2 linked regions of the Alligator mississippiensis genome follow. The protein of the gene in region 2 purifies or fractionates together with the protein of the main gene of each other region. This does not show direct contact. Links are inferred from orthologs where the notes say so. Each region holds a gene or a part of one and is shown on either strand. Other genes may lie near its edges.

Region 1 (7,822 bases), on a different chromosome or scaffold from region 2:
TTCATCTTAGCTACAGGCTTTGTAGCTAAGTTTTGGTTGCATTAGCTTACCTATGCACACCCCTGGGTCAGACGTCCCAGTTATACCTGTAACACCCATTCAAAGCAGCAGATGCCAAGGGGATTCACCAGTGCAACATTTGCATGCTGGAAAATGAAGCAAAGAAATACCCATAGACAAACAATGGGTAACTCGCTACTAAAAAACGTGCCATTTCCACATAGCCAATTCTGCAAGTCAATATTACAAAGTGCAGCATTTGCATCCAAGGTTTTTCTGCATAAAATCTTAAAAACAACAGGTTGGGCCGGGGGGAATTAGTTCTAGAAAAATGCTTAAAACAAATCAAAACAACACACAAAATGTAGCATCTTAAAATAAATAAACCCAAGGAGAAAAGGTAGAACTCAGAGACCACAGAAAGGACTGAGGTCCTAGATTCAGCCTTGTGGCTACTAAAAGAAAAAATAAGTATCTTCCAACTTGGAATAATTCTACATACACAGTTATATATGCACAACAGTCTGAAAAACCCCTGGAAATGCTCGCTTTTGAGATCTTAAAATCCTGAAGTTGTGATTAATCTAATGAGACATCATTCTTAAAACAACTAAGAGAATACAGCCACAGCTATATTGCCATTCAAGCATGTTTTTCAGAATGTATTTTTGTTTCATAACCTTAATATGCTCCCAGGATAAGTATACATAAATTGCTTTAATAATGGAGCAGCAGTAGCTATTTGAAATTACATCTACAACACACTTTAGTTAACTGCACAAATACACAGTGGCCAGACCAGCCTCCAAATCGCATGGACCAGAAATATGGTCCAAGACGCACACAATTGTTATAACTGTGCAAACAGCACTTCACAAAATAATAGGATACATCCATTTTGCTTCAAAAGCAATGTATCAGGCTATATTTTCTCTAAAACCTGCAATAAGACGAACTTGGCAGCCACCACAAGGTCACAATAAAGCAAAAGATGATAAATTATTGTCCTTGATCAATACAGGGCAGTAAAACTTTATGGAAAGACTTTCTTTTCCCTTTAGAAAGGAACATGGAGCAGGTGCTGACTCAGCCACAACAGAAAGCAAAACTCTCACAACCTAACTAGGCTGCAGCTGGAAAGCCCTGCATGAAACTTTAATGCCATTTTTCTAAAAAAAAAATTACTAAGAGTGAACCATCAATAGTGCTAGTTAGTCCAAGCAGTTCAGAGCCTGGTCCTCAGGATCTTAATGGCAACGGAAACATAAATGTTTTGGACTAATACTAGTATCTGCAGGAGTAGCTCGAGTTTAGAAGGTTTTCTGGCTTTTTAGAAAAGGGATCATCACCATCATCACGTTATCTGTTTGGTAAATAGTGCCTTGTAATCTGAGTGACAATTCCTTGCCACTGGTTATGGTTTTCTACGAGATGCATAACTTCTGCTGATAACAGAGAGCAGGCTGGATTTAAGAAGGCCCCCAAATTGTTACAGAAATAGCAAGTCTTCTCTGCTGCTTCCCAGCCATTGGGGCAGGCCAGAGAAGTAGGCAAACGCACATGTGCACCATAAATAGAGATTTCTTTGCCTAGGAAACAATGTAAAAACCCTCTAACTCGTGAGCATCCAGGTGCTTCATTAAGCTTGCGCCTTTCCTCCCCGCTAGGCTAATGCATTCAGTGGCACTCGGGTGGGTGGGCAGTTTCACTTTCAGAGTCTCCCCAGGTTTGGGTTTCAAACAGAGCACCGAAACAAGTTGCAATTTAGATGAAAAAGAAAAATCAGCGGTCAGCTATGAATGTTAAACCCCTGCTACACATTGCCTACATTGCTCAACCCACTGATGAAAGCATTATAAATGTACACTGGCCAAGCATGCAAGTAATTACCGTGGAAGTCATTGGTGAAACACATTATAAGTGTATACCGGTCACCTATGCAAAGCAATCACCATGCAACTCACTGGTGAAACACGCTATAAGTGTATACCGGTCACCTATGCAAAGCAATCACCACGCAACTCACTGGTGAAACACAAACATACTATACATAACAAGTAATTATTGTGTAATCCACTGATGAACTGTGCAAGCCATGTACACCAGCCACCCATGCAAAGAAACTATTACACAAATCACGGTTGAATCACGCCATAAATGTAGACCAGCCATCCGTGCAACGTAATCGTACAACTGACTGTCAAACCGTGCCATATATGTGCCCCTGCCTCCCGTGCAAAATAATTATCACACACTTCACTGGGGAACCAGGCAATAAACATGCAATACATGCATCGCGCAAAGGCGCCCTCGTGCACATCACTGGTGAATCGCACAATAAACCCGTCGCCCGCACAAAGCATCTGCCACGCCATTCAGTGCCATAAATGCACCCCGGCCACCCGCACAAAGTCATGGTGGCAGGAGATGAAAACAAATGAGGGACCAGTTTTAAAGAGAAGAGCCGACCCGCTGCGGGGTCGCACACAAAGCGCCCGCGCGGGTTTCTATCGCGCGTCAAGTGCACGTGTGTGCGGCAGGGCGGGCCCGCGGGAACCGCGCCAACTTTCCCGGGGGTGTCCGGGCAGCCCCCGCTCACCTGCGCTGCCGGCCGAGCCGGGCCGGGCCGCATCCCCGGGCACGTCGGGCAGGTCGGCCACGTTGACGCTGAGGGAGAAAGAGATGCGGGTCAGCGCGGGCGGCGGGACGCGGCGCCACGCGGGGAGGAGGGGGTGACACCGCGGTTAAGCTCCTACCTGCCGCCCAAGTCCAGGGGCAGCGTAGGGTCGTCCCCCGGCAGCGAGTCCATGGCGGCGGCGGTACCCGGTTATTATTGTGCGAGTTTGGCGGCTCCGCTGGAATTCAAACGGCTGCAGCTGCTTCCGCCATCTTGTGGCCCTGACCGTGAAGCCGTTGAAGCCGCCCCAGGAGGGCCTGGCACCAGGGCACCGTAGACATCTATGGGGAAAGCCGCCATCTTTGCTGAGGGAGCCGCCTGCGGAAGCGCGCGCGGACGCCCTCTTAACTGAGGGCAGACGGGGGTGGACAATGCCAACTGGGCTGTGAGCGGGGTAGGAGTTGAGTGTGGGCAGCTGCCATCTTGAGTGAGGGAAGGAAGGCGGGGAGTCTGAGCAGCCGTCAGTTTGCAATAGAAGCTGGTTAAGAAGGTGCCATCTTTACTAAGGGCATTGTGTTGCGTCGTTAGGACAAGAACATGTGTGTGGGCGCCGCCATCTTTATTTAGGGCCCCGTGGTGCGCAGTTCGGGGAGAAGGTACAGGGCATCTTTGCGGATAAAGTGGATATAATTAGGGGGCTGTGTCAGATCACCAGGCGGTGCCCTCAGGGATCCTCTAGGTCACCAGGGGCTACCAGTTGCCGCAGGCTGTCCCCCCAGTGCCACTCCCTTCCCTTTCCCGTGCCTGATCCACTGCTCTGCTTTCTACTTCCTTCCCTGTCCGCCCTTCCCGATCTGCTGCTCTGCTTTCTGTTTCCTTCCCTGTCCGCCCTTCCCGATCTGCTGCTCTGCTTTCTGTTTCCTTCCCTGTCCGCCCTTCCCGATCTGCTGCTCTGCTTTCTGCTTCCTTCCCGATCTGCTGCTCTGCTTTCTGTTTCCTTCCCTGTCCGCCCTTCCTGATCTGCTGCTCTGCTTTCTGCTTCCTTCCCTGTCCGCCCTTCCCAATCTGCTGCTCTGCTTTCTGCTTCCTTCCCTGTCCGCCCTTTCCGATCTGCTGCTCTGCTTTCTGTTTCCTTCCCTGTCCGCCCTTCCCGATCTGCTGCTCTACTTTCTGCTTCCTTCCCTGTCCGCCCTTCCTGATCTGCTGCTCTGCTTTCTGCTTCCTTCCCCGTGGGCCTTTCCCGATCTGCTGCTCTGCTTTCTGCTCCCTGCTCCCTTTCCATCTGCCAGGTGCAGGGTTTCCAGCTCTGTCTGAATCTATCGCAGGAGGTTTCATCACACGATGCAGAGACATGAATGATTGATCTACTGTACTCAGGAAAACAAATGTATGTTACTATTACTTTTTAAAACTGTAAAAACCCACGGGACTGCAGTATAAATTGGATTTGACATTTAATATCTATTTTAATGAATGCTCTATCATTTATCTCCTGGGTGACTCTCAGCCGTCTCCTGAAGATTATATCTCAATCCTGGAGACTCCAGGGCTGGCAACTCCTAGCCAGGTGCCCTGCACATGGGATGCCTCTGCCACTTGTGGCATAAGTGTGGCAGATTGGCCAGCCCCGGGTTTGGGAATGGTGGCCACATTAGGTTGGCTTAGCAACAGCTGGCCATTTTTTGAGGCTATTGGGTGAATGCCTGCTTCTAAGAGTGGGCGGCACAGGGCCTGACTTTCAAAGGCCTCGAGCACCAAGATTGGCAGAAGTGAATGGAATTGGTGGGGTGCGGGACAGCACCTCTGACCAGCAGAGCCCCAGCTCCCACCCACAGCCCAGCTGCATTGGTTCATCTGGACACACTGCATCTTCCTTGGGTTACGGGCATGGCCATCCACATTGCACTAACCCATGCATTTAACTGCGGGGTCAAGCTTATGCAGGCCTGTGTGTGTGTCAAACAGAGCCTGCCAACAAAAGAAGAATTAGGGCCTGTCCTTTGACTCCCTTGAAATACAGGACATGGGTTTGGAAGGGAATGAATGCAAACAGCATGAAGCCATGGGGAGCCTTTCCCCTGCTCTAACACTACTTCATCTCTGCTTGGGAGCCTGTGAGAAAGTGTATTGTCTGCTCAAATAAAATGTGTAACAGCAGGTGCTCAAGTACTAGTGATCTGGAATATGCATTTACCGATAAATAGGTAGGTAAGCAGGTATGATGGATAGAATTAGTCTCACGATTTAAGTTTCTTGTTATTTTAAAAGCAAAATGTATAATTCAGGGATCTAAAACCAAGAATCCTGTCCATCATAACAAATCAACCTTGAAAATACCACCTGAAATAAGTTTATTAAATGCATAAGCTTGCTCAATGCCGAGATGAAAGCTACAAAAGAATTGGTATTTTGCCAGAGTAGTATACTTAACCATGCAGTGTATTGTTAGATCGAGTTTTATCGCCCTAGGGGTGTTCTCTTTCCTCAATATGTGTGTGCAATTTCCATTACTGCTGCTTTCAAGCAGCTAGGAAATATATACCCTTCAACTGTATTCAGGTAAGAGCCTGTTTTTAAGATGATCCACTCCAGAAACATCCACGCTACATTTCTGCAAATGGATCATTTTATCTTAAAAATAAAGTGACAATCCATTATGAAATGCCATATTTTAACATTATATATAATTTCACCATTGAATGGTATTTGTATCAGCTTGTACAAGGGTAGTATCCCAAACTTGATTTTATTCTAACCCCATACAATATTTCCATGTAAACCGCGTGAAATGCTCTATGTATGCCCAATTCATTTTTTCCTTCGTTAGGAACAACGCATTGACAGCCATGCTGTACGATTTGCGAGTTAGTCACTGGCACAGGCTCACGTCTTAGTTTGGTTTGACATTTAATCTCTAGAATTCAGAGCTGGTGATTGGGTCACACTTTTCAAGATTAAGTCCAGGGGAAACTTCTATCTGAGGCACTTATGTAGGCCTCATCATCATAGTAAATAAAAGTGGCGTCTGGAGGAGGGCAACTGAAACTGGCACTGACCGGGGATGGGGTTGGAGTGCAGGAGGGGCAGAAAAAAATAGCTGTCACAGCAGCCGCATGATCACACCTGCAGCAGCAATGACCAGAAGTCACCACTACCCCCGTGTGTGGCCAATGCCCCAGGCACCTGGCCATTGTTACACCGCTAAGTGAATGCCTCACAGTCTTTAACGAGTTTATGTTCACAACGTGGATGCAGTGTATTTGTCCAGGGTCCCTCAAAGAGTCAGGGGCAGACCTTAGGAGAATGCAGTTAGTTATTTAAAGCCCAGACTGGCATCCTACCTGCTGGACAATCCCTTCTCTCATCTTGGTCCTACCTTTATTAATAATGTTTACATAGCAGTAAGCCATATTTGTTATCTCTATTGGAGACCTAATGTGTCCGAGGATTCCTGTCTTCTATTACGATACAGGCAGGACTGTGTTACTGTATGCCAGTTGCTTTCATTTGTCAGCACCTCCCTTGACTACTTCAGCTGATACCGTGCAGAACAGGTACTTTGGATCCCAAAGCTGGATTGTGTTATTCTTCTATAAGCTTTTCAAAACTTGACTGACATGCTTTTATAGTTTTAATGAATTAGTTGAATCTTTTTGGTAGGATTTAAACATTCTCCTGCAGTGTTTGCAATCTAAATATTGCACCACTAGCTTGACTGATCGTATAGCGAAAGCTGATGACTCGACTTCTATCATCCCAACTAAACGAAGGAGCAAGGCAGGAGTCCCCCCAGGTGTCAACAATGAAAAAATGAATACTTTCAGTTTAATAATATGCAGCATTACCTATAGCATAAGGACAGAGATGATTTCAGTATCTGATAAAGCAAGCTACTGCTTATTAAAGTTTATGCATCTCTAGTTTGTCTGTAAGATACAAATGTACCCCATTTTCTGAGAGAAGGCTGCCTAGGGCCAGTCTACAGGATCAGCCCATGTCTGTTTATTAGACTATTTTCTCCTCTATGTTTGTAGTGCTGGATTACACTTATTCACCATAACCATCTGGACTGTGTCAAGAAGATGCTTACCTCCTCAATGCACAGGCTTGGAATCAGCACCAGTATGTGAGCCTGCCTGTTGTTATTACCTTATCACTCTGGATTCCCGTTTCATCCTGTTACTCCATTTTCTGTAAATGGAATTAATTTCTCTTTCTGAAACACCTAAACGCCAAATACTAGCCTGTAAATTCAGGTGATGCCCTATGTTTCCCAACCAGTGAGTGCCAGTAACTCTGCTGTAGGCTTCTCCTTCCTACCTTGATCTTACCTTTCATTCTGCGGTATGTGTACAAAATTCAAAATGGAGCCGGGGTTACAGTAACACAGACCAAATGGAAAATGCCTGGTAATGACTAGTAAAAACACTTAATCTCTTAGCCGGGAACAGGTGGAAATTTCTAAGGCTATGCAACTGGAGTCTGAGTCTTAGTGAGAGTTCGTGGTATTGACGGGACCTGATCGTCTCAGTCTTTCTGGACTGATTGGTAGTTTTAAAACTGCATCTGCTAAATGGTAGCCAGACTAATCAGCTAATCAGTAGAAATTGTTTTTCTTCTTAAGGTGATCGGTCACAGAGAGTAACATTCATCTTGATGCCCAACATGACCCAATGGTTCATAAACAATAAGGAACTACGGTGTACAATATTTGTCATGTGGCATTAAAGTAGCGACAGCCAGCCACAGAGCCACTAGGCAGAGCATTTACTACCTAAATGATATAAGCCAGTATAGCATACGCCCTGCAACATCTCTCAACACATGCTGTCCCCTGCTATTGAACTGAAATCAACAGGCCCACTGTTAAGAAAGGCACTGCCCTAAATGGAGGTGGATGTGCATTTTACAATGAGATAACCCCTTTGGATCAAACAAAAAGATGCATTCGATCAAATGGATCAATAAGAGCTATGATGGTAACTGGGATGTCTGCATTACAAAATCTGCGGTAACACCATGGAGTTGTAAAGGGGGGGGAAAAAATTATCATTTTGAAGTAGTTAACAACTTGCCCTCCGCTAATCAGATTAGCATTGTTTAGCCTTATCTTAATTAGCAGTACATGTTAGGAGATTATACTAAATCCTTGTAGCAGCAATTTGTATTGAAAAACTCTATTATCTGTCCTACTCCTACATGGAA
Region 2 (7,032 bases):
AGAGAAATGCTTCTTGCAACCACTTTGCACAATTGCTACTTAAAATAGCCCTTGAAGAACAAGCATGTTTCACTATGTTTATCATCAACAGACACGACATTCCATTTCCTCTTCAAACAAGTCATGCAAGTGAGATTGCCTTAAATAATTAAAGAAAAATGCTTGTATACAAAAAGGTCAGTTTGTAGATGTCAATAGGCCAATACTTAGTTTTGGTTTTTATTATACAGTTGAACAAAGGACAGTGCTACAGTATTTTTCAGTCTTGTAAACATTAGGACAACTTCTTGAAAACTTTAAATTGTGCCTCCTGAATGTATTTCCGCTCCTCTCCACCCCCTGTCAAGGTGTGAAAACATGTAGATTTCGTGGACTAGGATACAGAAATGTTTAGGGATCTTAGGGCTCAACGCTTCATTATATTCTAGACCATCTCTCTCCAAATCTTCTCTTCTGTCAAGCAGATAGGGCTTTATACTTATCTCCAGAGCATCTGAGCCTACCAAATACATTAGCAAACTAAGCCTCACAAGGAAAGCAGGAAAGTGTTTAAATGACGTAGTTATTCCCATGTAAAATTCATGGTGCAGCCCAAAATGGACCTATCTTTTTTCATTCCCAATTTTTCTGCATTAATGACAAGACTATCCTTCCATCTAAAAAAATATCAGGATTCTGCCTGCCCTAGAGAACTCAGACGCTAGAATCAATGCCGTAAGTCTCCCCACTGCTTCCCTTGCTCAATAGAAGCATGGTTCCTGTAGAGCAGGGGCGCTCAACCCCCAGCCCACAGGCCAACCTTGGTCTGCAGACATGGCATCAGGCCTGCAAGGCTCCCCAAGGGTTGGGAAATTTGGCAAGGCTAGCCATGAGCAGCCAGACTGGAGCCTGTCCAGGATTTGGATCAAGCTGGATCATGGCTGGGCCACCCCACCTTCCCTTCCCTCACTCTCCCATGTACAGCTGGATAGGGGCCAGACCACACCCCTGCCCTCTGCACAGCTGGCCATGTCCCCTTGTCTCTGTGGACAGACCAGGCACTGCCCATTTGGCCTGCAGTGCAAAAAGGTTAAGCCAATCTCAGAATACCACAGGATCCTTTTAAGCATATCATGGGGTGCTGCTCAGTATTAGCACTGTTAAGGGTGCAAACATCTACACACAATCTACACGATAAACCCAAGAATTCGAATAAGAAACATTCTGACATATTGTGGTCTGAGTTCTTTGCGACAGAATTGCTGTTATTTTTCTGCAGTCAACCCGCCCCCCCCCAAAAATAAACCCAAACAAAAGCCAAGAGTAGGGTATTGCCCAAGAGGTACCTTGAGTCTAAAAATATTGAGAACTAGTGCTGTTGAGCCACCTCCAACCCCATACATCTCTAACCAGGCCTTTCACGTATGTGCAATAACAGAGAGGGAAAAGTTCCATTTTAAAGAAACCCATTAAAATTGATGTGAAAAGGAAAAAATACGTTTACAAATTATGTATAAAGCTGCGCTGAAATGTTTCAGGGGTCTCAAGTCATGCAGTTTCCCTAATGCAGTTTCCCCTTTACTCTCCTTGATGGCTGACTGTCTCATAAAACCAGGTGCTTTCTCTGTACCTCAGGTAGGAAACATAGATTGCATCTAGTGTAGGTATATGAAACACCTTCCACTTTCCATGTTTAATATACACCCTTTAAGGTTGGACCACTCACTAATGACAACGTTTTAGCTTCACAACAGGCATGTTTTTCTGCAGAGATCTTATAATACTAGGAAGTGCACACATTTTGCTTATGTCTGTTATTTTCAATAGAAGTAACTGCTTGCGTTATTCCAACTCATTGCAAATTCAGATATGAAATTAAATGCCATGACCATATTGCAATATATAAAATGTGTAGATTATGATTCATTACTTACAATAAAGTAATATTGAGCAGATATACATGCTTAATTATATACAAAAGTATTGTATAGAAGCAAGTATGTAAGAGCTAGACTTATGTCATTATAATTTACTAGGACTATGAAATCTTTAAAAGATCTCACCTTCACTTCTTCAGAAATATGGGGATGAAAGATAAGTATGTACATTTCTAATAACAAATAATTTAAGTAAATATGTACAAAGTAGCAGCATTATTTTTACTTAACTGATGATGTTTGTTGGAATCAAGTTTTGTGCATTTTAATCAAGCACATTTTATGTAACACAGATAAATACACCCCTTTCTCAGTACAAATGAACAATTATGAAATAACAGTATCAATAATCAAAGTTATAAATCAAAGTTGAGTGAAACAATCTGTAATAATAATAATCACTGAACTGCTTTGATGTTTAATGTTTTAATAAGCACTCTAAAATGAATTTTAAATTTCAGTTAAAAATAAAGCTGCACTACAAGGGACAAGTGTCCCTCTACTTAATGACCCAATCAACATAAAATAATGTCCTTCCTTTCCAAAATTTCAGAATTAAAAAAAAATCCTACCTTAAACACCAAAACACACCTGAACATTTTTTAAAACAGGAAAGCTATCAATTATTGCTTGCAAATTTACATCTTAAAGAAAGAAATGACAAACAAATGCCAGAAAGAAAAAAAGTTTGCAAAAAATTCCAGCAAGTCAACAACATTTGCCTAGAAGAAAAGGGAATTTGCAAGCAACTAACTCTCCTCCCCAAAACCCAATATTTTGAAACAATGCCATGTTTCCACCTGCATGATAAAATATCTATTTCTTTAAAGTAGTATTTCTAACTGTTAAGCTATGAAAAGATTGCTGCATTATATGGTAGTTTCTATACTGCATATTTATGTTTGTTTGCAAATTTCCTCATACTACTATGCAAAATGAACCTCAAGTGTCTAAAAGCACTTACTTGATCTGTCCCACAAGGCAGTGAATTCAGAGAAATGATGGCTCTCATCTTCCAGAGCCACTTTCTGTTCATGAACAGCACCCCTAGATTGCCTATGAAAAAGTCGATTAGCAAAGCCTTCCAGTCTCTGTAGAGCTGTAGTTGTTCCTGTGCACTGGTTACAAGCCAGTTCCTTCTGACTTGCCATCTATATACATTGACAACTTACTTTAAAAAAAAAACCAGAAAAAAAACCAACACAAAACATCTAAAAGGAGCTGAACAACTTACACAGAAGCTAAGAAGTATGCATGTGTCAAACTTCCTGTATGCAGTGTTTTGAAACCACTACTTCTGTTCTACTTCCTGTTAATATTAAACTGCACATTATGGAGCTTTTCTTAGCAAAAACCTCTTCCTATCAGCTGAAGGTGATGATTAGAAGAGCTGTTAATATTTTTCTTAAACTTGGAGTTCAACAGCTTTTTTAAAAACTAAAAATATGATGAAATAATTAAAATATACAGTCTGCCTTATGACAGAGACAAAAATCAGAAACCAGGTAATATTTAAAAAAACTGGTTATTATCCATGTATCTAAAAATAAATGAATTACAGGAAAAAGACAAAGGACAAGTTTTCCATTTCCCTCACAGGATTAAGATGCAGTCTTACCAGAATCATATATTATAGTTAATTGATTATATTAAGCTATGGTGTCCACATTTTCACATTTTCTAAGTGTTAAAAATAACTGATGGTATGTATTAAAAGCACCATTTTCTTCTTTTTGTTTAGGAAGGCCAGACTGAAGTAAAATACTGATCATTTCCTCTGCCCACATGAACAAGATTCTACAAAGCTACTGCTTACACCTTCTAGTTTTACCCTGCTGCAAAAACCAAGTTGTGAATGAGGTCACTTATGGAGTAAAAAAACTACACTGGATGACTGCTGCTAGTGGATTCTGGGCCTTACTAATGGATACATGATACATTGCTCCCCCCATCCAGCTCCCAATGTACATGAATGGATAGACACAAGATCCCAATCACCAAACTACCTCATAATATTGGAGCTCCAGCTCCAAGAGTAGTGAGATTATATGAATTCTCATTTTTCAGGTTATAAAAGGTTGTAGAATAACTTTTGAAACTACAATCCTTAAAGGATCAAAAAACAGAAAACTGATAAAAATCTAAAATGTATTACCATGTATTTTCCAATACAATCCACACCTCCTTTCCCAAAATCAGCTCCCAAAAATGGGGTGCACAAATTAAGAAGGGAAGCTGATATGCTGACTAGGATAAGTGCAGCCTGTTTCGATTCCTGCTCCACAGAGTAGCAGCTATTACAGTAAAATCCCTGTTATCTGACATCTGAGTAACTGGAACACTATTAACTGGAATTTCCGGCCGGCCATGTGCAGGGGGGAAAGCTTGCATGCGGCTGCTGCCACCGCCACCCCCCACCCTGCACTACAGCCGCTCCATGTGCGGCCCCCCCTGCTCCCCTCCGCATTCCCTACTCATGCCAGGGTAACAGGAATTTTACTGTACATTACTTTTGAGGCAGCTGAGGGAGTTGACTGACTTAATGCCTCAGTCTTCTGAAGATTAAGCTCCATCTCTACTTATGCAGATGTAACTGGAAAAAATCTTTTTCTTTTAATTTTGCCTTTCAAAGCCAATATGTGTATTCTTCTCAGTTGTATGTGAGAAAATATGCTATCTTTTGTTGCCTAACACAACACTTTTTGCATGCTTTAAGTAGACAAGTTGTTTGTGAGAGACTGAGAACATATCCTGTGGGCAATTTTTAGAAAATAAATTTCCAGCACACCTAATTTGTATACCCTAAAGTTTCCCCTAATTTAGGGAGGATGGTCTGAATATTTTTTCCATTCTCTCACTTCAAAATCCTCTTCTAGTTCACCTGTGCCTAAATATGTGCTCCTATTTTTCACCCAGGACCCTGCAACATATTCAAATTAAAGCTGGATAACTAGCTATAGTTATTACACATTTTCAAGCACTAACTTTATAGCCAGTTGGCTCTTTTTATAGCTGGATAGTCATTTTTATCATGTGATAATTACTTTGCATGTGTGGCTAGTCTAAAATTATTGCGCTATTAACCAATGAATTGTGATATAATGTTTGGTGCTGGTGGGTGTGTGTGTGTTGGGGGGGGGAAGGTTCTTACTTTGCACATGTGGCCAGTCTAAAGTTATTATGTAACTAACCAGTTAATAGCATAATTATATGTAACATGTAGCAAGGAACCCAAAGTCTTAATGTACAGCTTTCAAATAATTAGAGATGTAAGTTTTTGGACTGTACCCATCCTCATTTTATAAACGGCACAATGGTTCAGTACTAAACTATAACAGAATGGAAATTTTTCAACTTCTAACATACAAAAAATATCATGCATTTATTTGGAGAAGTGTCAGAAAATTGATCTTATTCACCTGAGGGAATGCTAAGTCATTAGGGCTGCTAAGTCAGATCCCAAACCACCAGAACCCTGATACTTTAACTTACGGAATTTGAACAAAGTGCAGGCACTTGTCTTTGGCTTGGTGTATTTAAATGAACACTTGAGCTACAAACCCTTTGCCCAGCACTACCTCACAAGAGCCAGGACCCATGGCCTGATTTCCTGATCTAGGGCACCACATTTAAACATACATCTTCTCAGAATGCACTACAAAGGTGCAACATTCTGATTTATAGCTTACTTCAATGGCTTATGACAAGTGACAATGGCACTTGTCATATGTTTGCATAGCATAGCTTACTAGGTATTTTTTCAGCTATTTGAGTTGGTCTGATAAAAAAGATATCGGATTTACCCAAAGAACCTTATCTGCATATGACAAGTGCAGCACATAAGTGTGCTCACATGCGCACACACACACTTTGCACAGGATTCTAACAAGACGCTGCTCTTTACTTAGTAGTATAGGAAATACAGATTTAGAGAAAACAATGTATGCATTTTTCTGCTTCAATATCCTCACCATTTCAGAGCATATTTTATGCTCATGGCAGTCGTCTGTGGTTGTACAAGATTCTTTTGCTGCAATTCATGGCTTGTCTTCTGAACCACAAAATCTAGAACAGCCCTCTCTCCTACCATGGTTGGTCCCACAGTAAACTAGACACACAGCTCCTGTGAAAGCACATTCATCTCTTCATACCCTGAGTTTCTTTTGTGGCTCTATGATACTTCCCCCTTCTCTGAATCCTTCTAAATTCCTTTGTCACATCTGTTGCTTTGCCCTATGTAAAGAATTTTTAATAAATTCACAGAGCAGACAGATAAAAGTAGCTTCTTGATGAAGAAGGAAGAGAAAACTGAATAGTTTTTAAACTGCTTTAACTATCATTAGCACTTTTTTGTTTTTTTACCCAACAAAAAAGTCAGGTTCACTGACTTCTGGGCTGGTTTGAGGCTCTGAAGCTGGTCAGCTTTCTGTTAAGGAGAAATAAGTGATAAACAGGGATCCTGGTTTTCTCCAATTTAAAAGAAAAAAATCCCCAATTTTTGGATATAAAAAGGTAACCCAAAATCCATAACCAAAATCCACATTTTTCCATCATTAAAATGAAACACCATTATATATAGCTACATCTAGATAAAGGTAGATCTTTCTCTCTCTCTCTACATACATACAGTAGTGTTTCATTTTAAATCACAGAAAAATGTGGATTTTGGGTTACTTATTTATATCCAAAAATTGGGGATTTTTTTTTTTTTAATAGAGGAAAAAAACCAGGATCCCTGGTGATAAGGAGTCTAGCCAGTCCTTAGTGTAGCTTGTTTTACTCATACTGTCAGCCTAGATCCTTGAACAGAGACTGTCAAACAGGTGCACAGGAACTCCTTTCAGAATTCCATAGGCAAAAACATAAATCCCCAGTTTCTAGAGAGCAACTCTATTCCAGAAATTGATACTAAGAAAGCACATTAAAGCAGACACTCCTGATCCGAGGAGTTTTTAGTGATACCTTTTTTGTGACACCTTAAGAAAGTGATACCTTGTCCATCATTTTTCCCAACTATACAGCTGGTCCAATAAAAGTTACTACAAAAAACTTTGCCTTTTTCATAGAAAGTTAAAAACCAATGGCTGTTTTACACACTTAAAGTGATCTAAAATAT

Evidence for each region.
Region 1: the proteins of PRKACB (region 2) and CDK5RAP2 purify together in Homo sapiens (affinity purification with mass spectrometry; 4 studies listed by BioGRID and IntAct, counting the BioPlex papers as one, with this or other methods). This does not show direct contact. The link is inferred for Alligator mississippiensis from reciprocal best matches to the Homo sapiens genes PRKACB and CDK5RAP2.

What each region holds. Positions count from the first base shown.
Region 1 is NC_081835.1:56,638,232-56,646,053, forward strand, and holds the start of CDK5RAP2 (CDK5 regulatory subunit-associated protein 2), read right to left. Parts: upstream 3,025-7,822; 5' UTR 2,810-3,024; coding exon 2,757-2,809; intron 2,668-2,756; coding exon 2,600-2,667; intron 1-2,599. UniProt on the Homo sapiens protein: Potential regulator of CDK5 activity via its interaction with CDK5R1. Negative regulator of centriole disengagement (licensing) which maintains centriole engagement and cohesion. Involved in regulation of mitotic spindle orientation.
Region 2 is NC_081828.1:27,864,999-27,872,030, reverse strand, and holds the start of PRKACB (cAMP-dependent protein kinase catalytic subunit beta), read right to left. Parts: upstream 3,083-7,032; 5' UTR 3,068-3,082; coding exon 2,881-3,067; intron 1-2,880. UniProt on the Homo sapiens protein: Mediates cAMP-dependent signaling triggered by receptor binding to GPCRs.